Linked DNA regions of Schizosaccharomyces pombe. The protein of the gene in region 2 interacts with the protein of the main gene of each other region in a biochemical or structural test. Each region holds a gene or a part of one and is shown on either strand. Other genes may lie near its edges.

The links.
Region 1: of the proteins of dsk1 (region 2) and prp2, one has a biochemical effect on the other in vitro, tested with the Schizosaccharomyces pombe proteins (4 studies listed by BioGRID).
Region 3: of the proteins of dsk1 (region 2) and asf1, one has a biochemical effect on the other in vitro, tested with the Schizosaccharomyces pombe proteins (one study listed by BioGRID).

The regions. Positions count from the first base shown.
Region 1 is NC_003423.3:1,010,531-1,018,038, reverse strand, and holds prp2 (U2 small nuclear RNA auxiliary factor small subunit, U2AF-59), read right to left. Parts: upstream 4,730-7,508; 5' UTR 4,485-4,729; coding exon 2,931-4,484; 3' UTR 2,860-2,930; downstream 1-2,859. Other genes in the region: lsd1 (histone demethylase SWIRM1), read left to right, coding at 1-2,039; tif1102 (translation initiation factor eIF1A-like), read left to right, coding at 2,272-2,570, 2,623-2,707; fan1 (fanconi-associated nuclease 1), read left to right, coding at 5,327-7,438. UniProt on the Schizosaccharomyces pombe protein: Necessary for the splicing of pre-mRNA. The SF1-U2AF59-U2AF23 complex has a role in the recognition of the branch site (5'-UACUAAC-3'), the pyrimidine tract and the 3'-splice site at the 3'-end of introns.
Region 2 is NC_003423.3:822,891-831,632, forward strand, and holds dsk1 (SR protein-specific kinase Dsk1), read right to left. Parts: upstream 5,043-8,742; 5' UTR 4,924-5,042; coding exon 3,289-4,923; 3' UTR 2,858-3,288; coding exon of another isoform or gene 2,355-2,857; 3' UTR 2,299-2,354; coding exon of another isoform or gene 2,175-2,298; 3' UTR 2,110-2,174; coding exon of another isoform or gene 1,984-2,109; 3' UTR 1,915-1,983; downstream 1-1,914. Other genes in the region: palmitoyl protein thioesterase/ dolichol pyrophosphate phosphatase fusion protein Pdf1, read right to left, coding at 1-259; lsc1 (Lsk1 associated cyclin), read left to right, coding at 1,484-1,644, 1,689-1,770, 1,984-2,109, 2,175-2,298, 2,355-2,857; SPOM_SPBC530.15C (spermidine family transporter), read right to left, coding at 6,201-7,751. UniProt on the Schizosaccharomyces pombe protein: May play an important role in mitotic control by altering cellular location, degree of phosphorylation and kinase activity. Abundant expression accelerates the exit when cells are in M-phase and also delays the entry into mitosis when cells are in G2.
Region 3 is NC_003421.2:1,641,188-1,648,736, reverse strand, and holds asf1 (histone H3-H4 chaperone Asf1), read left to right. Parts: upstream 1-4,152; 5' UTR 4,153-4,181; coding exon 4,182-4,970; 3' UTR 4,971-5,835; downstream 5,836-7,549. Other genes in the region: SPOM_SPCC663.08C (short chain dehydrogenase ), read left to right, coding at 1-737; osr1 (dehydrogenase), read left to right, coding at 2,861-3,622; SPOM_SPCC663.18 (GTPAse-interacting protein), read left to right, coding at 5,866-5,903, 5,940-5,971, 6,020-6,147. UniProt on the Schizosaccharomyces pombe protein: Histone chaperone that facilitates histone deposition and histone exchange and removal during nucleosome assembly and disassembly.

The DNA.
Region 1 (7,508 bases), 190 kb from region 2:
TTAGTGAAAAAAGTTCTCTAGCTACAACTGTGAATGCCACAAATGAATGTATGGTTAACTTATTGACCGATTCTTTAATCGGAATGCCCACGCTCGACAGTGACCCCTTATACATAATTTCCTCACAACAGCTTTCGTTAGATGCAGTACATACTAGAAATAGAGAGTTTATCTTACATGATATCGAAAATGGAAGAATTGATACCGAACATGTTCAACGTATTTTTCGTTTATTTGATGCTTTACTTTTTTATTTCAATGCTTCAGCTAGTAAACAGCCCCTTCATTCGTTGATTACTCCTCCTGAGCAAGAATTCATTCAAAAGCTTGACCAAATTGGTTGGTATATTTCAATTGAAGCCTTTCCTTTACAAATAAAGGACACTTTGTCTGAATTTCTTGGTAATTCGGCTAACACCCTCACTTCTTTATTGCATCTTACTGTTTTAGATTTAAAAATTTTTGAATGGTTTAAGGAATACCTTTCACAATCACTCTCTGTTTCTCTTGAAAATGTTTATCCGGGAAGCATTCCAAACCTGAATTTATTATTAGGTGAAAATGTCGCTTCATATTCCTTCAAACATGGAATGGCGGATATGCTAAACTCCCTTGCTTCAACACCTTCTCCACTTCCAATTCTTTTTGACCAGTGTGTCCATACTGTAAAGCTAGAAGATAATACGGTTAACTTATCATTTGTAAATGAAACAACAGTTTCAGTCGATAAAGTGGTTATATGTATACCTATGGACAAGCTGAATACCCATTTGATTACCTTCGAGCCGCCTCTCGAAGAAAAGAAGCTAAAGGCTATTGATAGATGTCATTTTACCAATGTGAAAAAGGTTATCCTCATTTTTAAAACCCAATTCTGGGAACCAAACATAAGTATATTTGGTTCACTACCACAAGATTCAGGTAGAAACTTTATATTTAACGATTGCACTCGATTTTACGAACATCCCACATTATCAGTCTTTGTGAAGGTTGAAGGGATCGACTTTATGAAGGATGATGATATAGTGAATGGGATTGTATCTCAACTTAAAAAAGTTTATAAACCGAAATCAGAAGCCATAAATCCTATTCGAACGATTATCAGTAACTGGGAGAATAATTCTTATACAAATCACTCATCATATCAAATATCCAATTTGTTTTTGGAAGAGGATTATGCAATATTGTCTGAGCCCATTGACAATACTGTGTTTTTTGCTAGTGAAGCAATTTCCCAAAAAAATTCAGGTTCGATACGCGGCGCATTTGATTCGGGCATACTGGCTGCTAGAGATGTTTTGGCTTCGTTAATAGGCAATGTTGTTTTACCTAACACTCTCGTTATTGAGGAAAACTTGGAACAACCCCGTAAAACGTACGGCACGAAGCGAAATGCTCAACAAGCTTTAGGCAAAGAGGGAGAAAGAGAAAATAAGGAAAAGCGCATTTCATACCATACCGAGTATTTACGCTTGAGACAAAAAAGACTTGATAAAGAACAGCAAGAATGTGATTTACTAATTGCCGAATTATTGGGACCGTCTCCTGTTCCACCATCAAGGCCTAGTGCTAATCCTTACCTTTTGTACCAAAAAACTCAATGGCACGTTTGTAAAACTCTAGCAGATCAGGATAAACAAAGAGTTACTGGCGATCCTGAAGCACGTGCCACAAAAAATGAGATACGTGCAAAATTGGGAAAGACATGGCGAGCCTTGGATAGTTTAGGTAAACAACCATGGGTTGATGAAATTAACGCGAGACGAGCAAATTATTCAACTCGCCTGGAAGAGTATCAACGTCAAATTAATTCCTACAATGTGAGAGTTGCCCAAATTAAATCCGAACATCAGCGAAGATGTGAATCTCAACCAATTCCTGAAGATGAGGCTAAGTTAAAATTACTTGCTGAACAAGAGGACGAACATCTACATCCTGAAAAAGAGGGCATGTCCGTTGAAAATAGTGATGATGATTATCATGATGATTTAGATTATGAGGATTCAATAAGTGAAGTATTCCCTGACAATTTCTCATGAGCTTCATTTAAAGTTTTTTTTTAAGGGTAGTTTATATGAGATAAAGATCAATTTTTACGTTTAAGTTATAATGGTATACTAAATTTTATTTTTTCATAGAAAGGAATGACATTTATGAAATGCATATCATCTTGTAAATCCACTTGTCGAAGCTTCCTAACCACCATAAACCCAATTCTCTACGATTTGCTTGGTTATCACATATATACGAGCTCTTTAGAGAAATACTAATATGTCAAAAAAATATGGCGGTCAAATTTCGTTTGATCCACCAGCTAGGTTGGAAAAAGATCAAGTCGTCGCCAAAGTTGTGCAACTTAAAGGATCTGCGCTTTTTATGGTAGTAGAAAACAATGGACAGGAATTACTTGTTGAGATGCCTCCAAAGTATCGTAATAAAATATGGGTTAGGAGAAATGGGTTTGTAATAGTTGATAAATCTGAGTTTTTAGAGAAGGACAATAAAATTGACGGTACTATATTGTACGTGGTACAAAGCCCTTTAAAAAATTGGAAAAAACAAATTTATTGGTAAGAAATTCTCTTGAAATAACATTAGATGATTGTGCTAACTAGTTTAAAGGCCTAAAGAGTTTGCAGATGAATCGTTAAATCAAAACGATTCTGAGGAAAGCAGCAGTAGCGAGGAAGAATACGATAGTGACTAACAATTTACAAAAAATACATATATTAAGAATCCTTACAACGAACCTTGTAAATTAAACCGATGATAAAAAGCGTATAACGGGAAATGCTTGCAAGAATTACTTCATCCCACAATCGCTCATTACAATTGAGTACTTTGTTACACTTTAAACAATCCAATGAGAAATACTGATATTATTACCCTAACATTAAGATATTATACTAACCTTTTCATTGAAACTGAAATCACCATGCATTAGCTTTATAGCAATCCTCACCATAAAAAGCAATGACAATCGTGCGATCATTAAATTTACAACCTTTCATCTCTTCCATTGCGACCTCTGCAGATCTGATATCGGAGTATCGTACAAAAACCTTTCCAGTTCCTAATCCCGAGTTTCTAGTGCCAATACTACGAGGAATTTTTATATCTATAAGTGGTCCATAATTCGAAAATTGGGTCTTTACAGACTCATATATGTCTTCATATTCTTGTACATCCATAATTTCGTCCCCAGTAATTAAATTATGTAATTGTAAGACTCTAGTTGGAATAGATTGTGATGACGCCTTAGCAAGTTCTGTCAAAATGGCCATTCCATTAGACTTATCTATCATAGCTTGATTGAGACCTACACAAGCAAATTGTGCGTGTAACTTGTTCCCATACGTATCTTTACCATCAAGACCGCTGATAGCTACTTCCGCATCAGAAGGATTTTTAAATTCGCAAAAACAAAAACCCTTCGAAGATCCATCTGCAATATTTTTTATCAATTGAAAGCTTAATAAATCACCGAAAGGCTTAAGTAGCTCCACCACTTGATCTTCGCCTAAATTTAAAGGTAAATTTGAAATGTAAATTTTGTCTTTTGAATCTAAAACGTCGTTCTTGGCATAATCATCACTTCTTTTTTGAGAAACTTCGGGGGTAATTTGAGGGACGATGTAATTTTGAATTCTTTGAAATTTTAAAAAGACATCATTAGAATATGATTCGGACTGAAGCCCCCAGAGGAAGGTGGCATCTTCAGGAGTAGCGACCTCAAGAATAGCAAAGTTTTCTTCTTTACAGACGTTGACAGAGGAGAAATGCTTTGTCTCGGGTTTATGGTATGTAGTTGAAATAAATAGATCTTCGATAAATGATACAAAAGCATCTTCAACGAATTCGTTAGGAATTCCAGTAACCACTAGTCGACGAGCCTGTCTGCTAGCACCTGGTTGTAAGGGCGGAGGGGGAGCAATAATACTTCCTTCCGCAGAGCGAGCAAATTCTAGCAATTTCTCTGGATCAGTAACTGCAGCTCTAGGAGCGCCTGGCAAAGGAAAAACACCAGACATTTTCGCCTGGTCAGCAGTAACCAATTCATAACCAGGTGGTTTAATGTCCCATAAAGAGCGCTTCCTTTTCCACTGATTTATTGGTGTTACATCTCTCAATTGTTCGAGTTCCTGTTCGATAGACCTTACGCTTCTTTCTCGGCTGGGAGGTGGACTTCTACTTCTTCCGACAGATGAATAACGTAATGATCGAGGCTCATAATCATCATATCTTCTTTCTCTTCTTGGCCTCTCATCCTCTCGATAACTTCTTTCACGAGATTCTCTATGTCTACGAAAATCACTTTCGTCTCGGCGACGTCTTCTAGGTCGTTCAGAGCCATAATGGCCTCTCGGGTCTTCCCTTCCTATCCCACCCGAACCTCTTTCTCGTCTAGGTTCTTCATCGCGATAATCTCTGTGTCGCTTGGGTATCCGTGAAGAACCTGATGATAATCTGGAAGACAAATCCATGTTAGTGAATGAATATGAGGCTATTTAAAAAATTATTCAAAAAAGAAGGGAGGGAAGAAATTCGTTTATTAAAATGAACTCTTAAATTCTCCGGAAAAAACTTTGATGAAAGTAGGGAATACAAAAGTACAAATTCTAATGAAATGATATGCGCGTCAATGCTCTTGGATTCCTTGCTAAAAAAAATTTATAACATGAACAATAATAATTAACTTATTTTTTCTTTATGTGATACGCCCAAGGTTAGTCAAAAGTTTCGACTTACTAAGTTAAGGTAGTGAGAGTTTGTAGTAACTTCGCCAGCGTCGTAATTTTAAGCACAACGTTGTTGACTTACATTTTCTTTTTAGTTTCAAATAGCAACTTTCGCTAAACTTGCATTATAGACAACACTGTAACTTACGAATGCAGTTAAATTTTCAAAAGCATTTATTTAAACTGTTGTCCTTACCCTAGTACCATTCTCCTAAGTTTTAACGAATTTTTCTCTTTTGACCATAGTATTTGATTGTATGGCTTTCTTTTAAAGCAATCTTTAAAAATTTACAGCTGCCATGAAATTCAATAATTTTCGTTTTTTTTTTGCCAGTACATCCACGATAGATTTAATGTTTGTCTCATTTTATCCTTGAAATCCATGCTCTTAAATTGTATGTTCAATCTTTTAAAAATTTACTTTATTACACAAGAAGACGTTTACATTCATTCAAAATTTATTATTATTTATTTTCATACTAGCTTTCCATTGTTGTAAAAGCCGCTCTTTTTTTTAAATATTTGTTTACTTACGGCCATCATCTTGTGCACTTATTCAGTCGCGCTGCTGTGATATCTAAAAATTCATGAAACGATTCTTTAATGAAGCGTGCGACATAAACACTCCAGATAAATCTGGGGTAAACGAGAACAAGTTATGTTTCCCTCCCTTAAAAGTTGTATGTCAAGCACCAGAGACAACAGTTAAAGGACAAGTTGCCAATACTAATAAGCACAATGTATATTCTACTAAAAATTCAATGTATCTGCTGGGGTTCGAAGAAATCCTAAACACCGTCCTCGATTGTGAACCGCATATCTTTACTGATGATGAGTTGAGGGTTATTGAAAACTTTAAAGCTTTAGACTCGGATGAACGGTACTTGTTTGTTCGTCTATTCATGCGTAAAAGAAATAAATGGTTCCGCGTGGGCCATTTGACTTATCCAGATTGCAAGGATGTTATTGCCTGCTGTAAGCAGCTTGTTCTGAAAAATTTTTTTGAAGATGAATCACTCATGTCAACTGAAGAAATAATTGAAATTCTATCTCTCGATGAATTGCGTTCGTTAGCTAGACAAACGAAGGTGTGTGGAAAAAGCAGGTCTGAAATTTCAAAAGAAATCATTTTCCTATCTAAAAGACAATCAGTACTACATTGTAATGGTCAACAATTTTTGTCCTTTGATGCTTTTGGTGTGATGCATAAGCAAGAGTCGTTTCTTCGGAAGCAACTATTATATCAATGCAAATCCTGTGTGAAACCAAAGAAAATTTTAGTAGACCTATTTCATCGAATTAATATTGTGTACTTTCGTTCGTCCATTTATGATGAACAATCGCTTACGTCTTTAATATTAGCACGCCTTAACAAATTTTCCTACCCGAATTACGTTTTATCGCGAACTTCAAACGTCTTTAATTGTCGTGCTCAATGCCTTGAATACGTTGAGGTTTTAGAACTTTCAAAAAACTTGGTTCCAATCTTTGAAAACACTGCCGCTTCGGATAAGGAAGCACTCGAACAAGCGTTGAACAGTTTTTTTGAAATATATCCTATATGGTCGACATATCTAAATGAAGACATTAGGGAATTTTGGGTGGAAGAAAATAGAAAAGTAGATACTCGATTGGTAAGGTTTTCTTTTAGCTTTCGTCCTGGTGCTGTTTACACATACTTAATACATAAAAGTCTAAATATTCTCGCGAAGTCGCGATTAGTTGAGGTTGAACATGAAATATTAGATACCCTTTTATCTCAAAATATATATTTGGTGGGTAAAAGAGGACATTGGTATAATAGAAAAGCCTTACTGGAATACAACTTTAAAACTGAGGATACTAACGTTTTGCGTTATTGGAAAACGCTTGCTTTATCAACTTGTGAAAATGGTATTGAAGACAAGTATACCCACCTCAGATATTACTTTAGCTTACAAAGGAGACTTGTTCGCTTACGGAAGTGTTTAAAAGTCTCTAATACTACCGAATTAAAAAGCATGAAACTTATAAATAATAATCCTTCAAGACTTTTTCTTCATGGTGAACGAATACATAACGGTGACCTTTCAAACCGGACTGTTTGGCGTAGCAAGACTAATAATGCTATCACAGTTGAAGAGCTTGCTCTTCAACATTATCAATCGATTGGGTGGGAAGGTATACATGCTGAAAGCAGCATTTTGCTAACTTTGTTTGCTTTGACATTCTGGGATATTTTGTTTGAGGACGTTCCTGGTGTTTTTCAATCTCCGTTTCAAAGTGCACCTTTGGATTTGCACACTGATTCCTTTTATATATCTAGAGAATCGACAATCATGAAAAGACTTGAGGAAATAAGAAATGGGAAAGCTGGCCTAATTATAAAAGATAATTATATCAGAGAGCACCAAAGAAAAACATTTTGTGTAGGTCTTAATTGGTCGTATACTTGCGAAATGCTTCTTGAAATTGTCGATTGTATCAACGATAATGGACTCGCCCAAATATTTCTTGCTTTGACCCAAGATTATAAAAATAGTTCTAGCGGGATACCTGATTTATGTTTGTGGAATCCGTCTAAAAAAAAATTTATGTTTTCAGAAGTTAAAAGCGATAATGATAGGCTCTCAGAAGCGCAAAAATTCTGGATATCATTACTAATATCCAGTGAAGTTGATGTTGAAGTTTGTCATGTCTCCATGCACAAAAAAAAATAAAAAACGTGATTGTTAATCTTTTCATTAAATGCATAGCTTATGTAAATTACACTTTGCTTGCTGAATTACC
Region 2 (8,742 bases):
ATTCGTTGTCACCGACGCGGATAGCATATACCGCACCTTTAGTTAGTTTCTGAACACGCTGGCTAACCTCTGTAAGAGTAAAACTAGTGGGAGTATCGCCCAAGCCATGCCAAATCACCACAGGTAATTGTTCAGAAGCTCCGTCATTAATAGCTAGTCGGACCTTATCCAAACTAATAATTGGTATTGCAAAACTTTTCATAGGTAAAAGAACCCAAGAGAATAGAAAAAAGATTAAAAATGAGCTACAGCTCAACATGGCGAAAATAAAGAGTGTTGAATACGGTTCAGAAAATTACCCAAGGAATTGATGAGTTACGTATTATCTAAGCTTTTATCTAAGCGAAAGTTTAAAGTTGTAATATATAAGTATGTATTAGACAATTGAAGTGTGAGATCAATTACAAAAATTGAAACAGAACTTTGCACAGGTATTTTTCAAGATGAAATTTGTATACTTCATCTACTTTTTGGATATTTTTAAATTCTCAAAAGGCAGTGTCTGGATTTGCAGAAATTGTGAACGATCTTTTTATCTGAAATGTTTGGAATAGAAAATAACCCTAAGAGATTAAAAAAATGCATATGACAACACTCAAATGGTTCAATTCTATGATTTATTTATTATTAAAATTACCATCCTAAAATTGAATCCTGGTATCACCATAAAATTATTCAGTTGTGGGCCTTTCTCATGTACTAAGCATGGTAAATTATCATTAATAAAGAAGTGAAAATACATATCTTCTTGTGCAGCAGAATTTAAATTATAATGAACGTAAAAATTGCTGAAATAATGAAGCAATGTATAGTATAAATAATTAAAAGATATTATCATCCTATATCTACTAGTTTAATAAGAAAAAAAATAAGAGAGTTTCACTTTAAAAGATTGAAAGGAAAGCTTTCAGGAAATGTTTGGCGTTTATAATCGCAAAAATTAATTAGTTAATAAGAATATGCAAAATGATAGAATTATTAGGAAAATATGAATTTATTAGATGTTTAATGTTTTCTTATGATAGCTCAATTTGACGAAATGTCTGTTTCATTAGACAAAAAAAAATGCAAAAAATATTTTAATTAACAGACAAATTGGCGTGAAGGTCATAGCGTCTCTATTCCTTACTTAAATAACTAATTTACTAAAATCATGTTGTAGTGTAGGAGTTCGCTACTTTCAGAAATTAAACGACGAACACTCCGAAGGTTAAACAATCATTTTATTTTAGAAATGAGTAATTTCATAACTCTTTTACAATAGCACGCAGGACTGTCATAATTTACAAATTCAATAACTGCGAACATTTCCATGATAATTTCGAGCTGCAATTGCTGAATTAAAATTATTTTATTTTAATTGATTTACAGTATACAACATGATAAAATGCGTTACTTAAAAGGAATCGCTTAACTTCAGCATACTTGCACCTTGCAGGTAAAGCCAGGCCTTCACAAACCCAGCACCATTTTAGCTGCTAAAATGGCAGAAAATGAGAATCATGTACTTTCAATACGAATGTCACACCCATACTATTCAGAAAAAGAAATAAGTCGAATTTTGTCGACGCGAGATCCCAAAGAAAATAATTTGCGAATGCAGGCGTTCGCTTGGATATCAACACTTTCAAAAACTTTAAAATTGTATGCTTTTCCTCAAAATTATCTAGAATCTAACTTTTTTTTAGCCCTGTAAGGACCAGCGGCCTTGCAATGCTTTTATACAGTCGTTTCCAACTATTTTTTCCCGTGAATGAAATTCCTTTGCTGGTATGTTATTTGGATGTCTTTCGCACATGAGTATGCTGTGCTATTTGAAATTTTACGTATTCTGATATAAGAATATTCTGAATGCTGTACATTGGTCATACTATTAAAAAAGACTACAGTTTTTAATAATGTTAGCTCAGCTACTCCAAGTTATAAACATCATATTCTCTTGATTTAGGCTCTTTTTCTTTCAAAAATAACTAACACATTTAGGAGTGCGCTACTGCTTGCTTAGTAGTTGCTAGTAAAATCGAAGATACGGCCAAAAAGTTTCGTGATATTCTTTTAGCACATTATCTTCAAAAGCATCCAGGTTCTGAGGTCGATGCTCATTCACAAGTATGTTACAAGGTGCGCAATAATTGTTTTTTGTTTATAAGGAGACTTGCTTACAGGTGTATTAGCTAATCGAAGAGAACAAGAAGAGGATTCTAGGTTTAGAAAGAATGACACTGGAATTGATTTGTTTCGATTTTCGAGTCCGACATCCACACAATTACATGGTAAAATTTGCAAAATCACTGAAATGTATGACTGCTATTCATTTTACCTTATAATTTTCGAGTTAACTAATTTACTTTCAGTTTCATCTTCCACGGCAAGTATAGCTTGGAATGTCTGCACTGATGCTTATAAAACATACACAATGTTAAAATATCCAGCCCATATTGTTGCCGTCGCATCGATTTCTATTGCTTGCAAGTTACAGCAACTTCCTCAACCTATAATTCCCAGATCGTTCTTCGCTCCACCAGCACTAACGGAAGCAGTGATTGCGGATATACTCGATCTATATATGCATTATCAGCCTCACACTTGCATTGGTAATATGTATACAACGGAAAAATTACTTGGATTATGTGTTGACTTCCAACGAGCCCAAAAAAACTCTGGCCGTCCTCAAAAACCACCCCAAATTGACCCTCATTCTTCTTCTTTAGCAGATGAATACCGTGAGTCAAATAAGAGACTTCAAGAATCCAAAGAAAGTTGTGCCAGATTTATTTTAGACTGCGATAGAAAGTATTTTAATACCGAATTTGAAAAACGAATGCTGGAAGAAAGGAGAAATAAAGGTACGGTTTAATCTAATGGTTCCTTAATGAGTTATCTTACCATCGGTTTGTTCCTTCTTTCGACAGCATTCTGAACAGTATATTAATATGTGACATTACAAGTTACCAATTTCCAATTAACTTCCTTTTGAATGACAAAACTTTATTTTATGCGTTTTCTAAACATAATATGATTTAAAAAGCAGCTGACCTAAACCCTGCTATATCTTAAATATTCATTAAGTAAAAGGAAATTTCGTTCAAATTTCAGTGCAGTAAATGTTGATCAAAAGAAGGAATCGTGATAATCATACGTAACCCATTTCAGAGTGAAAGGTGTCATGCTTTTTTAAAGCAATCACGCTAATGGTGGGAAATTAAAAAAGGGACGATATCGCAAAAAAAAACTATATATAAAAAAAAATCATTTACTAGCGCTTCAAAACCAATATCAAGGTAAACACTAACGAATTTCAGTAGCCCATCCGGGTACATCTTCACCGGTTGCTCCAGTAGTCTCGATTTTGAACGTAGGATCAGCCACTTCGCGCAACCATGGAGAATTGCTCATGTAACCAGCATTGGTTCGCTTGGCAGGATCAAAACATAACATAGGAGATAAAAAGTCTGATATTTGTTGAGCCAACTCGGCTGAAAAATGGTATTTTTGCTCCAAAACATCTTTTAAAGGCCAAAACTTCAATTTATGAATATTTCGGAGTTCACCGCGACGGTTAAATAAATCGCGGGAGTGCTTTCCTGAAAGTGCCATTTGCTTAGGATAATTAACCAATAACTCAATAATTTGGGCAATGTGGTCATCCTCCTTAGAATAAGAATTCCCATTCCGTGGATCGAAAAGGTAATCGCCGGTTAGCAATTCAAAAATGATACAGGCAAAACTCCAGCAATCAGCGGAAGCTCCCCAGCGACATCCTAGAATTACTTCTGGAGACCTATACTGACGGGTTTGCACATCGTTGGTGAAATGCTTCCGTGTCCAGCACGCGTTACCGAGATCGGCAATTTTAACAGTGATTTTTGGAACGGGTTCCTGAGAACCGTTAACACCATCAAGTATAAGAGAATTATCTCCACTAGAAAACGGAGAATTAGGATGAGAATTATGCTTTTGAGAGTCACGAAGGCTGATTTCTGAAACAGCACCTTCTAATGAAGGAAAGCGGCTCAAAGTGGAAGTAAAAGGACTGCTAGGAATGACCTGGCCAGCAGGCTTAGAATTCTTAGTTGGATTTTTTGCAAATGTCTTGCGTTCTTGGGCAGAGTTATCTACAGATTGGCCACGTTTAATAATTGGAGCTTTGGCTGTATAACCAGTGTTATTTCTTGTTTTTGAAGAAGAGGTATTAGAAGTGGGGGAGGAAGTTGTTGCAGGTGCCTCAATATGTTGCAAGGCATCCTGATCAATGCATATTAAAACATTTTCGGGTTTAAGATCAGTATGAATGATCCCGCATTCTCGATGCAAGTAATCCAGAGCGATGAGTAATTGGTAGGCAATTTGCTTTACAATACCCACAGGTACTCCTCGATGGCCGTATGACTGTATCAAACTTAAAAGATTCTCACCGAGAACTTCGAATACCATACAGACATGAGCTCCATTAGGACCACGATGCACAAAATAATCGAGCAAAGAAATGATATGCTTTTTGCCCAAATGCTTTTCGTCCCCTTCTCTAATTTTCTGCAAAATGCGAATTTCATCAATTGAGGTCTCTCGATAGTGCTCTGCTGAACGCACCACCTTCAAAGCTACTCTCCGTTTGGCAGCTCGATCATATGCAAGCCAAACCGTTGAAAAATGTCCCCAGCCTAATTTTCTTTCAACGACATATCGACGGTGATGAAATTCTTCACCAATGTAGACTGGGTGGTATCCACCATAGTGATAGTCCTCTGCATTTTCTTCGTGCGTTTTTACCTTTTCCACCATGCTTTTTCCGTCTACTTCAGCATTGACCTTTTTATTAACATTTTTTCCATTCGTGATCACCTTTTCACTGACATGGTCAACTATTTCAGTGTGTCCCGGTTGTGACACTTTCGGTGACAAACTCGACCCGTCACTTCCCATTTCAAAATGGCTGGCTGCCCCGTATGAAGAAACTACTGATATGTCCCTCCAGCTCTTAAATTAAAATATCTGAGATATGTGAATACACCAATTCCTTCGTTGTTGTTGTTGTTTGTTCTGGTTATAAATACGGTATGGAGTAGTATTTTTAGTGCGAAAATCAACACGGGGAAACACCGTGGAGTCTTAGCACACTACCGAGGAAACTTTGCGCATTAGGAAGAGCGTTTCGATATAGTAAATAACAAAAAATGGGAAAATGGTTTACTAATTATTTTACGCCAGTAGGAGAAGCCACCTTTACACTCCGTTACTGTACCATAAATATTTTAATAATACTACTTAAAAATCCGTATATATGAATACCAATGACTAAGGCATCACTAAAAATATCAGCAGTTGATAGAATATGAACCCCCTGCGCTTTCATCCCATCGCTATCCCTTACTAACTACTTTTACCGAAGTAGCCCAGCCGTTAGAATTCCATAAGATGTGTTAAGGTCTTCCAAATTTATATCGTTATCCATTATAACTGTATCCCATTCAGCTCTTAGATCTCGACAGGATAGCTAGAAAAAATGTAAACAATTCTTGAGTCGTTGAAAAGAGGGATATTTAAGATCTGTTTTCTCTCTCAACATACGGCGTTCTTAAAATGAAAATTCTCAGATAATGTTCTAGCTTTACGGCATTCACACCTACGGCCCGAGATCTACTACCTACTCACACTAACCGTGATTCTACGGGCAAGACCTGGACTCGAAAACATTCAATTACATTGATAAAAACGGGATATAATAAATTGACAAGTATGGCCTGTGCTAACAGTTATTTTTGTTGAGGTCTTAGCAATGTATTATGGTAAACGGAAATCATATGTAAGGTTCATAACCAACCAATAAATATAAATGTCTATTTGAAAGGTACTTTTTTTGTGATGATCAGAAACATAAAGGAAACGGAGATCAACAAAAGTAATCATTGAGGATGATGAATTATTAAAGAAGTCACAAAAAGACAAAAGAAAGAGGCAGCGGGTAATAGAGATCATTTAAAACAAAGTCCATCGTTTCTAAATATCTAAACGGCAGCAAACTGGTTAAATTAACGAAAATAACAATAACAACAAGTAAATGCTGAGGCCATTAACCCAAGGCAACAAACCGCGGGCATGGTTTCTGAATAAAAAAGATGAATATAACAGAAATAAGAAAAACAAAAACTGGAAAAGAGAGGGTCAAGCAAATCAACTAAAAAGCGGACTTCTATGACGAATTAATCCTTTAGACAGTGCTTGCTCATTTGTCGTAATTTCGGCCCATATAAAAACAACATAAAAGGAACTGGAATAAGCCCAACTGCAACAAATCCGACCAGAGAACCAGCCCAACCAATTCCCAAATTATTGAACATTTGGGTTGTAAAAAGAGGAAATGCCGCGCCAAACGAACTTCTAAGTAATGTATTGGCCGCGATTGCAGAAGCAGAACATCCACTATAACAATCAATGATATAATTGATTGTTTGTTGAAAAATTGTAATGATTCCAAAGCCAATAAAACTACCTGCCAAAGTTGGAACAATCCAATGAATCCATGGATAATTACCAGTCCAAGCAAGCCAAAAGATGCCAATGGGAAAGACAATGCAACCGATCATCATGGAGGGAAGTCGTGCTTCAGGAACAGGTCTTCCTTTATTTTCATCCATCTTTTTAAAATAGTAGGGCTGGAACAGGGCAACGCTAGAGCATCCAATACAAACACCAACAAAAATAGCCAAATACGGAAGAGATTCAACACCCAACCTCCATTTTCGACTCTCCCCAAAAATAACTGGGTATGCTTCAAGTAATCCATAAAGGATACCATATACGAAAGCGGTATAAGTTGAAACCACAAGTAATATGGGCTCAAATATTAAAAGACGGAGAGGAAATGTGAAGTATTTGTGGAAAAAGTATGAGAATTCCAAGGGCTCTTCTTCTGATTTGGCATGTAAGCAATAGTTCCCAGTAAGTACTCTCACCTTGGACGCTCGTATCTCTGTAATTGTGCGGGTATATGTCTCACGGTGAAATATAATCATAGATGTAAATGCTGTGAATCCCATGATTGCAGTAATGTAGGACGTCCATCTCCATCCCAAGTATGATTTTCCAATAAAACCACCAACAATTGGACTCATTAACGGTCCATTAAAAATAATAGCAGAGTAAACTGCAATCACAAGACCACGAGTTCGAGCACTGAACATATCCGAAAAGGAACCAGCGACAGTCGTAATTGGTGAACTACCAAAAAATCCACAAAAGAAACGACAGATCATAACGGTTTGGATATCTTTGGCCGTCGCAACGGCAATATGGAAAATACAGAAGATAAATACAGCAATAATCATTGGTCGTCTACGACCAAATAATTCACACATAGGAGCCCATACAACAGGTCCTGAGGCAAATCCAAGGACGTAAAGACTAATTCCCAGTAAAGCCACCGTGCGACAAACGTGAAATTTGACCATAACCTCGGGTACAGCACCTGAGAAAATAGAAGAACCAAAACCGGCGCACAAACACGCACTGCCCATAACAGCTACGTTACGAAGCTTTTTGGCTAAAGGCCAATTAACAGCCAAGTCAGGGTCATCAGGGCCGTCTAATGTGACTATGAAATCCTGAGGATTGCTAATGACCGGATATTTTTTGAGAGATTCTTCTAATTCCGAAGAGACAGAGGATTGATACCGATCATGATGATTGGATTGCTGTTTTTCAAGGTCGAAGCTAGCACTTTCGCTTGACGATTCTGAAGTACGTTCGGCCATGAGTATAGAGAGATGGGTTTAAACACCTTCGATAATGTTGAATTGAGCGACAAAGGAAGATTAGACAAGCGTGTGCATAGGATATAAAATAATACTATACAACGCTTTTATGATAGTAAAAACTGGATATAGTGAAATCAACCCACTATCCGTATTGAAAGGAAATATGTATAACTTTCAAAATGCAAAAATTGAAATAGAGAAAAGTTGAAAGAAAAAAAAGACAGCACAGCTGTATTTCAATCTAATATCGTATCACAAAAGAGTAAGATACAAAAGAAGGATGAGAAGGAGGTATATGTATATTTTTTAGGTTAATTTCTGTTAGATATACACATGTATATATATTATATATATATGAATTTTATATCACAAACTCCAATCTTTATTTCTTAGATAAAAAAAAATAAAAATTAGCAGCGAAGATCAAATATTTGGAAGACTGGTGAATCAACCAATCTATGGAACATACCACCCTGATTATCAAAAGTAAATCAGACGCAAGCGGTGAAAAAAGAAGAACCGAAGATATCCAAGAACCAATTCTAGTCTGACGGTGTAATTACAGAGAATTTGTTAATACGTTCAGCTATTTCTATTGCACTGACAACAGTATTAAACTTTAACTTCTTAGAATAAGTATTTCTTGAAGAAAGAAGCTAATAGCTCTTTTTAAAGATTAAAACCGACTGGAGACATTCAATGCAACAATTTGCTGCGAAAAGGTTCTGGGGAGATAGCGATATATCGATAGAAAATTTTGTACCCGGACTCTTATATTCCGATTTTGCCAGCAAACTCTGAGCCTGGCTGCAACACACAGTAACGAGATGCGCAAAATATATAAAGCCTAAAATCAGTTTCTATAAGTTTATAAACTATCTGATGCTAATAAGATATTCAACTCTGAGCAATCAATGCCAAACTACCTCAAATAGCGCAAATGCGTTACGGTGTTAGGTTTTGAAATTCGCTTGTCAATCCGTTTTAA
Region 3 (7,549 bases), on a different chromosome or scaffold from region 2:
TTATTGCAGGAGGAAATCGAGGCATTGGACTCTCTCTTGTTAAGGAATTGAGCAACAGAAAAGGAACAGTTGTATTTGCAAGTGCCCGCAAGCCTGGAGCTGCTACTAAATTACAAGAATGGAGCAAGTCTCATTCCAATGTGCACATTATTAAGTTAGATGTCTCCTCTCTAGAGAGTGCCAATGAAGCCGCTCAAGAAGTTACAAAAGTAGTTGATGCAGTGGATGTTCTCTGGGTAAATTCAGCCGTTTTCCATTCTTTTGGTCCTGTCGTAAATACTCCTGATGATGTCTGGAACTCTCACTATAAAACCAATGTTTTAGGACCAATTCATGTCTACCAAGCCTTTTATCCTCTTATAAAAAAAGGAAGATCTAAAATCATTGTTTTTACTTCATCATTAGCTGGATCCATGGGAGCTTTCTTCCCTTCAAGTCAATCTGCTTATGGCCAATCTAAGGCTGCCTTAAATTATACGATGAAGGAAATTAGTTTTGAGCTACAAGATGAAGGATTCATAGTGATTTCAATTCACCCCGGAGCTGTCCGAACCGATTCAGCTCAAGAAATTGTAAATCAGCATGCTGAAAAGAAACCGGAAATTTTGGATCTCTTTGCAAAGCAGGCCTTAACACCCGAGAAAAGCGCTTCAGATATGTTGAAAGTTGTAGACAATTTGAAGCCCGAAAATAATGGACTTTTTTACAACTATGATGGTACCATCATTCCTTTTTAGACATATTCTTTTTTGTACTTATGCAACGATGCCAGAATAAAGGATTTGGAAAAAAATGATCAACTTCTACAATTCTATATACACGAACAAATGACCATAGATCAAAAGAAAAAATTGTTGTACCCTTCAATCAGTCATGTACTATTACAGTTTTGGAAAGCTAGTAAAACCACTCGTTTTGTCTTTTGAGACTAGTTGTTTACGAGTAGCCTGCATTTTAATAATATATAAAGAAAAACTTTGTTCAACCTCAAACTCGAAGCTACCTTTTATAAATCGTAGATAATTACTCCTACCACCACCAAAGCTGGAAAACGAATTCTTCCATTTTTTAACCACAGTGGCAATGTTATCAGCCAAAATTACAGCGACGTCTGGTAAATAATTGAATAGCTATGAAGGCATGAACTGCAATGCTTTAATGTAGCTTACGGTTAACGACAATGTTTCCATACATTCACTACTTTTTGACGACCTTTTAAGGCAATAAATATGCGACTGAAGTGACGTAACAACATCAAATGTGTTAATAGCTGAACAGCCTTTAAGGGTTCAGTCTTTTCGTGAATTTTGGAATTTTCTGAGTACTTCAAAAAATAGAATATGTCTTCGGCTGACAAGATTTTCTTTATCGCAGGCGGGAATCGTGGTATTGGACTCTCTCTTGTTAAAGAGTTAAGCAATAGAGAAGGAACGACTGTGTTTGCGAGTGCTCGCAAACCCGAAGCTGCTACTGAATTACAAGAGTTGAGCAAGTCTCATTCCAATGTGCATATTATTAAGTTGGATGTCACTTCTCTAGAGAGTGAAAAGGATGCCGCCAAGCAGGTTGAAAAAATCGTGGGTAAAGTCGACGTTCTCTGGCTAAATTCAGCAATCTATCACTCTTATTCCTCTGTATTAGAAACTCCTGATGAGGTTTGGAACTCTCACTACCAGACGAATGTTTTGGGACCAATTCATGTCTACCAAGCCTTTTATCCTTTAATGAAAAAAGGAGCGTCTAAAACCATTGTCTTTACTTCATCATCAGTAGCATCCATGGGAGCTTTTTTTCCAATAACTGTTTCAGCTTATGGTCAGTCTAAAGCAGCTCGATGAAGGAAATTAGTTTTGAACTAGCTGATGAAGGCTTTATTGTAATTTCAATTCACCCAGGACTTGTACAAACCAAGATGTCAAAAGAGTCCAGTGAGCATTTTTCCAAACAACATCCTGTCATGTTAGAATACTTTCAAAAAAATTCCATTCCTCCCGATCAAAGTGCTGCACAAATGTTAAAGGTTGTAGACGACTTGAAACCCGAAAACAGTGGATCTTTTCGTACTCATGACGGTTTTGATATCCCCTTTTAAAGGTACTTTGCTCTCTAGATTCCAGTGTATGATTTGTTCAAACAATTGTTTTTTGTTAATTTCATATGTTCTTACAAATGTTTACGAGCATAAAAAGTTTGAGCGAGTCCAAGGTGCCACTTGGATTGTTCAGCAGTTTTAGATCTTGATACGTTTTATTCAACCTTTGGATATATAAAGAAGGGCGTCGCATATAAAAAATTCAAGTGTTCATACAGCAATGCTTAAATCGGTTGCAAACTTATATTTTATCTTAAAATTATTCTATTTCTATGTTTTTTTTGTTTAATAATTTTTATTGTGAAAGGACTTCAAGGTTTAAAAGAGTTGTTTTTTTGTATCCTGATTCAACGCTTTTCTCCTATGGCCAATGTCTCAGCATTATCAATTAAACAATTTTCAAATAAATTCTCCCTTTATGATACTTTATCAAGGAAATTAAAAGAAAGGTGCATTTAAAGGAATACTATTCAGTATGCAAGCAGTATCAAGGAAGCAGCTGACAAACCAATGGAACGGGTTATAAAGATTAGTTGCAATATCCATATTATATGGCAAAATATCACCTAACGCTCTACGTGAACTACTATGAACCTGCTGATTTTGGAAGTATATTCAATTATGTAAGCATCAAAATTCACGGTTCAAATCACGTAAGCATAATGATTTGAAGAATTGGTATATAAGCACGAAGTTAATGATAAATTGCCGACACCAAATTACACTTTTCAAACGGATTCAAGGATCATTCAAATATTGTGTTAGAATATGTCTACTACCAACAAAATTTACTTTATTGCAGGAGGAAATCGAGGCATTGGACTCTCTCTTGTTAAGGAATTGAGCAACAGAGAAGGAACAGTTGTATTTGCAAGTGCCCGCAAGCCTGAAGCTGCTACTGAATTACAAGAATGGAGCAAGTCTCATTCCAATGTGCATATTATTAAGTTAGATATCTCCTCTCTAGAGAGTGCTAATGAAGCCGCTCAAGAAGTTGCAAAAGCTGTAGGTAAAGTAGATGTTCTTTGGGTAAATTCGGGCATTTTTCATTCTTTCAACACTGTTCTGAATACTCCTGATGATGTCTGGAACTCTCACTATAAAACCAATGTTTTAGGACCAATTCATGTCTACCAAGCCTTTTATCCTCTTGTGAAGAAAGGAGAATCTAAAATCATTGTTTTTACTTCATCATTAGTTGGATCCATGGGTGCTTTCTTCCCATTTAACCAATCTGGTTATGGCCAATCCAAGGCTGCTTTAAATTTTACAATGAAGGAAATTAGTTTTGAGCTACAAGATGAAGGATTCATAGTGATTTCAATTCATCCCGGAATGGTTCGAACCGATTCAGCTCAGGAAGCTGTAAATCAGCATGCTGAAGCGAAACCGGAAATTTTAGATATCTTTGCGAAACAGGCCTTGGCACCAGACCAAAGCGCTTCAGATATGTTGAAAGTTGTAGACAATTTGAAGCCCGAAAATAATGGATTTTTTTTCAACTATGATGGTACTACAATTCCATACTGATGGAAATTCACATCATTAACAAGTCATTCGGATTTGCTGTTAAGCTGCATCAATATTATATAACCGAATGATCGAAGGAACTTACAATAACCCTAAATATATGTTTTAATCCGCTTGTATATCTTTTTTAATAATTAGAGATGAAGGAGGTTATGTCTATTTTTTATGTTTCACATACGAGTTGTTTTTGCACAATGAAATTTGATGATCATATTAATTGTACATTGCATGCATTATTAATGAAATAGAAATTTTTATTAAACAACGGTTATGTTTAACTAAACTGCTCTGTAAGTTCTTCGTACTTTCGCATAAAATACTTAACAATGGTTATGTTTTCTATTGTTTACCGAATAGTGAGGCATTGTTTAGATGTGCCTTCAGTATTTATATTTACTGCATTTTAATCCTTATATGTTTGAATCAAATAGGTGTTATTACCTTAGAGCACGAAAAGCGATATAAAATAGTCAAGCGTATCCTTAATTATCCGAACTCTACGAAACCTTTCTTCACCTACGCTGTTCTTGGCAATCGCTTAGACGCGTTTCACTTCGAAATGTCAATCGTGAATATCCTTAGTGTTAATGTGCTAAATAATCCGGCAAAGTTCTCTGATCCATATAAATTCGAAATTACCTTTGAATGTCTGGAGCCGTTAAAAAGCGACCTGGAATGGAAGTTGACATATGTAGGTAGTGCGACGTCTCAAAGTTACGACCAAATTTTGGACACGCTACTAGTGGGACCTATACCAATCGGGATTAATAAATTCGTTTTTGAAGCTGATCCTCCTAATATCGATCTTTTACCTCAACTCAGCGATGTTTTGGGTGTCACAGTTATTTTACTCTCTTGTGCATATGAGGATAATGAGTTTGTTCGAGTAGGTTATTATGTCAACAATGAGATGGAGGGCCTGAACCTTCAGGAAATGGACGATGCAGAAATTAAAAAGGTCAAGGTTGACATTTCTAAAGTCTGGCGCAGTATTTTAGCAGAAAAGCCAAGGGTGACTCGATTCAACATTCAGTGGGATAATCCCGACTTTGACGATGCTCCACCAGTTCAGCCTGACGCGGACGAAGAGGAAGAAGAGGAGGAAGCTGATGAAATGGAGGAAGAATTCGATGAAGAGGGAGAAGGCGATGAGGAGGAGGAGGAGGAAGACGATGGAGACGGTGATGGAGAAGGTGATGGTGATGGAGAAGGAGAAAATGATGGGAAAGGATCGGAAGAAGAAGAAGAAGAAGAAATTGATATAGAGGAAGAAGAAGAAGAGTCGGCTCTTGCAAATGCTTCAGCTGCGGAAGAGAAACCTGAGGAGAAACCAGAGACGTCTCAGTAAAATGATAATCGGACTATTTTTTGAATGCTAATACTAATATTGACAAGAACTAATCCGATAAAGAACATGATTACTTTTTTGTATACTCTCTTTTAGTTTGCGCATATATATCGCTCTACCCGTTATTTTTTCGATGTAAAATATTCATGACTGGTGATAGTGTGAGAATAAAAACTATGGAATGGGAAAAGAGGAATAGCATTTTTTTTCCTGTTACCATAAAGCATTTTTCATAACACATCTTTTATTTAAATTCATTTTTGAACCGTCGACCTTTCCGTTGCATAATGGAGGGAAGAAGCATCTATTGTATGCCTCTTCCAATCGCCCTAAACGCATCATTTGTACCAACGTTCCATATTTTGGAACGGAGTTCTATTAGATTATTATTTTCTTTTTTTCCCATGTAAATTGTTGAAAGACTTTCGCATCCTGGTGTATGAAGTGTGCATTTCATGTTTTTCAAAACATAATTAGGGCACAGACGCAAGCTTTCTCTCCTCGATTTATCCTTACGGGACGGGATCTTTTTCCAGTTTATTAATGTGTGGATCCATTATTAGTATGTTCCATATTTAACTTATTCATCCAAAAGACAGCAGCACTCATTCTAGTTTTCGCCCTATGTATATTTGTTTATTGCAAGACCCATCAGTTGCGTACTCCAATGTAATCCGTTCGCTAATAAAACGTATTATGACATAAAACGCTATTTAAATATTGCGTATAGCAATACTCAACTCAATTAAGGATAATGTCTCTTGCAGTGGCCTCTTTAAATTGAGTGACACCCCTAAGTCACAGCAATGGGAAATGACATGTATTGACGCTACGCTGGTAAGACACTTCCCAACCTCCCATTTTCCGCAAAAAAACAAAAAAAGCGCATTACTCAATGAGTACAGATTCCTTGCCAAGAAGTTTGATGGAGCAGTAAGTGGTTTTGCTAGTTCTTTGCTAAATTGATAGGAAAGCGATGGAATTGCAACAGCAATTGCAAGGTACGATGGCGGTGCGTTTTGGAGAAAGAAAAGACTAACAATTGATAGCTTTGTTGGATGAGATCGATCAAAACAAACAGGAATCTGAAAACATTAGTCGAGAAAGCGAGTATCTGTGCCAATACATCGGCAGCATGATGGCCTTTCAGAATCGTCAGACTGTTCCCAAGAAGTAAAGTCGTTTAACCCTCTTTATGAAGCAACACTTGTACAGAAAGAGTTGTTGATGCACCATTGAATTGATTAATCGCTTTTTTTGATGTTTTTTGTATGATTCGTTCGATGAAGAAGAAAAAAAAATAAGGTTCGTTTGGATAGATGCGTAAGAACGCTGTTAAAACTGCGAATTCTCAGAAAAGTTTTTGGACGAATGACTGGATTACTTTAAGTGTTTGTTTTCCGTTGGATGGATCAGCCCTTTAGCGGCCTTTAGCATTTTTTTACGTAGAGAAATTCCCTTGTACTGGTCGCTGTTGGTTGGATTGATCCATCCCTCGCTTTCCCCATCGTATTATAAAACACGTTGGCTTTACTTTCTGATTGCCCTCTTGAGTTCCCCACACGCCTTTCGACCCACATACCTTTTCGAGTTGTCTAATTAATATCGTTATTAAAAGACATGAATTATTGCAATTTTGTTTATCTCCTTTTTCATTGAGCGAAGAAAAAAAAAAGAAAGACCCTCCAATTATCATTTAAAACTTATTGCGTCTCGCTCAACCTTCATTGCAAGTGGGTAGGTGGGCTTTGAACACCTTCACGCTTTATTCTCTTGTTTCTGACCCTTTGATGTTCCCATCGATTTCCTTGGACATCATTCTGCCAAATGTGTTGCCATTTCATCTTTTTCTATTCTATTTTCTATTTTTTAAGCTCAACGTCACTGGCACTGAACTTTAGCACAGCTAGCTCGTTTTTGACTAATCTATACTCAATTGAAGTTCTGCATGACTACCATTAAATTTTTGTTTTATTTTTTTTACTTCTGGTCAAGTTTTAAATTTGTAAATATTTTCCTTACACAAGTAGACTTAAGATGTGTTGAAAGCTTCTTGATACCCTATGTACTAAAAAAACCCTGTAGCGTAAAACAATGCAGGAGGACAAATCATCCTGCAGTCATTTTATTTGTTACAAAGTATTTTAATAAAATAACTTACAAACTTTGTCGAAATTGAAATGAGTATAAATTTTTCAAGCTCTTTAAATAAAAACAAAAACTCATCTATCCCGACAATTACAAGTCAAAAGTTTTTCCTACCAGGTCAGGCCGCGCCGCCACCAACTACTAGAAAATTAAAGTACACTTAAAATCGTTTTATTTACAGATCATTCAACTCTACTATATTACACGACAATCCTTACGACTTGCATGGAACTGTTTACATAGTTATTGAAGACAACAGATACATTGCGTTTATATAGAAATTTTTCGCTCAAACAGAATGGATCCATTTTCTATTTTTGCACACGTAAAACGTAGGATACGCATAAAGCAATCCATAACTTCATGTACACGAACGCTATCTCAGTTAGAAAACAGTTACTCCACAAGCAAAGGCGTCGGTTGATTTTGTC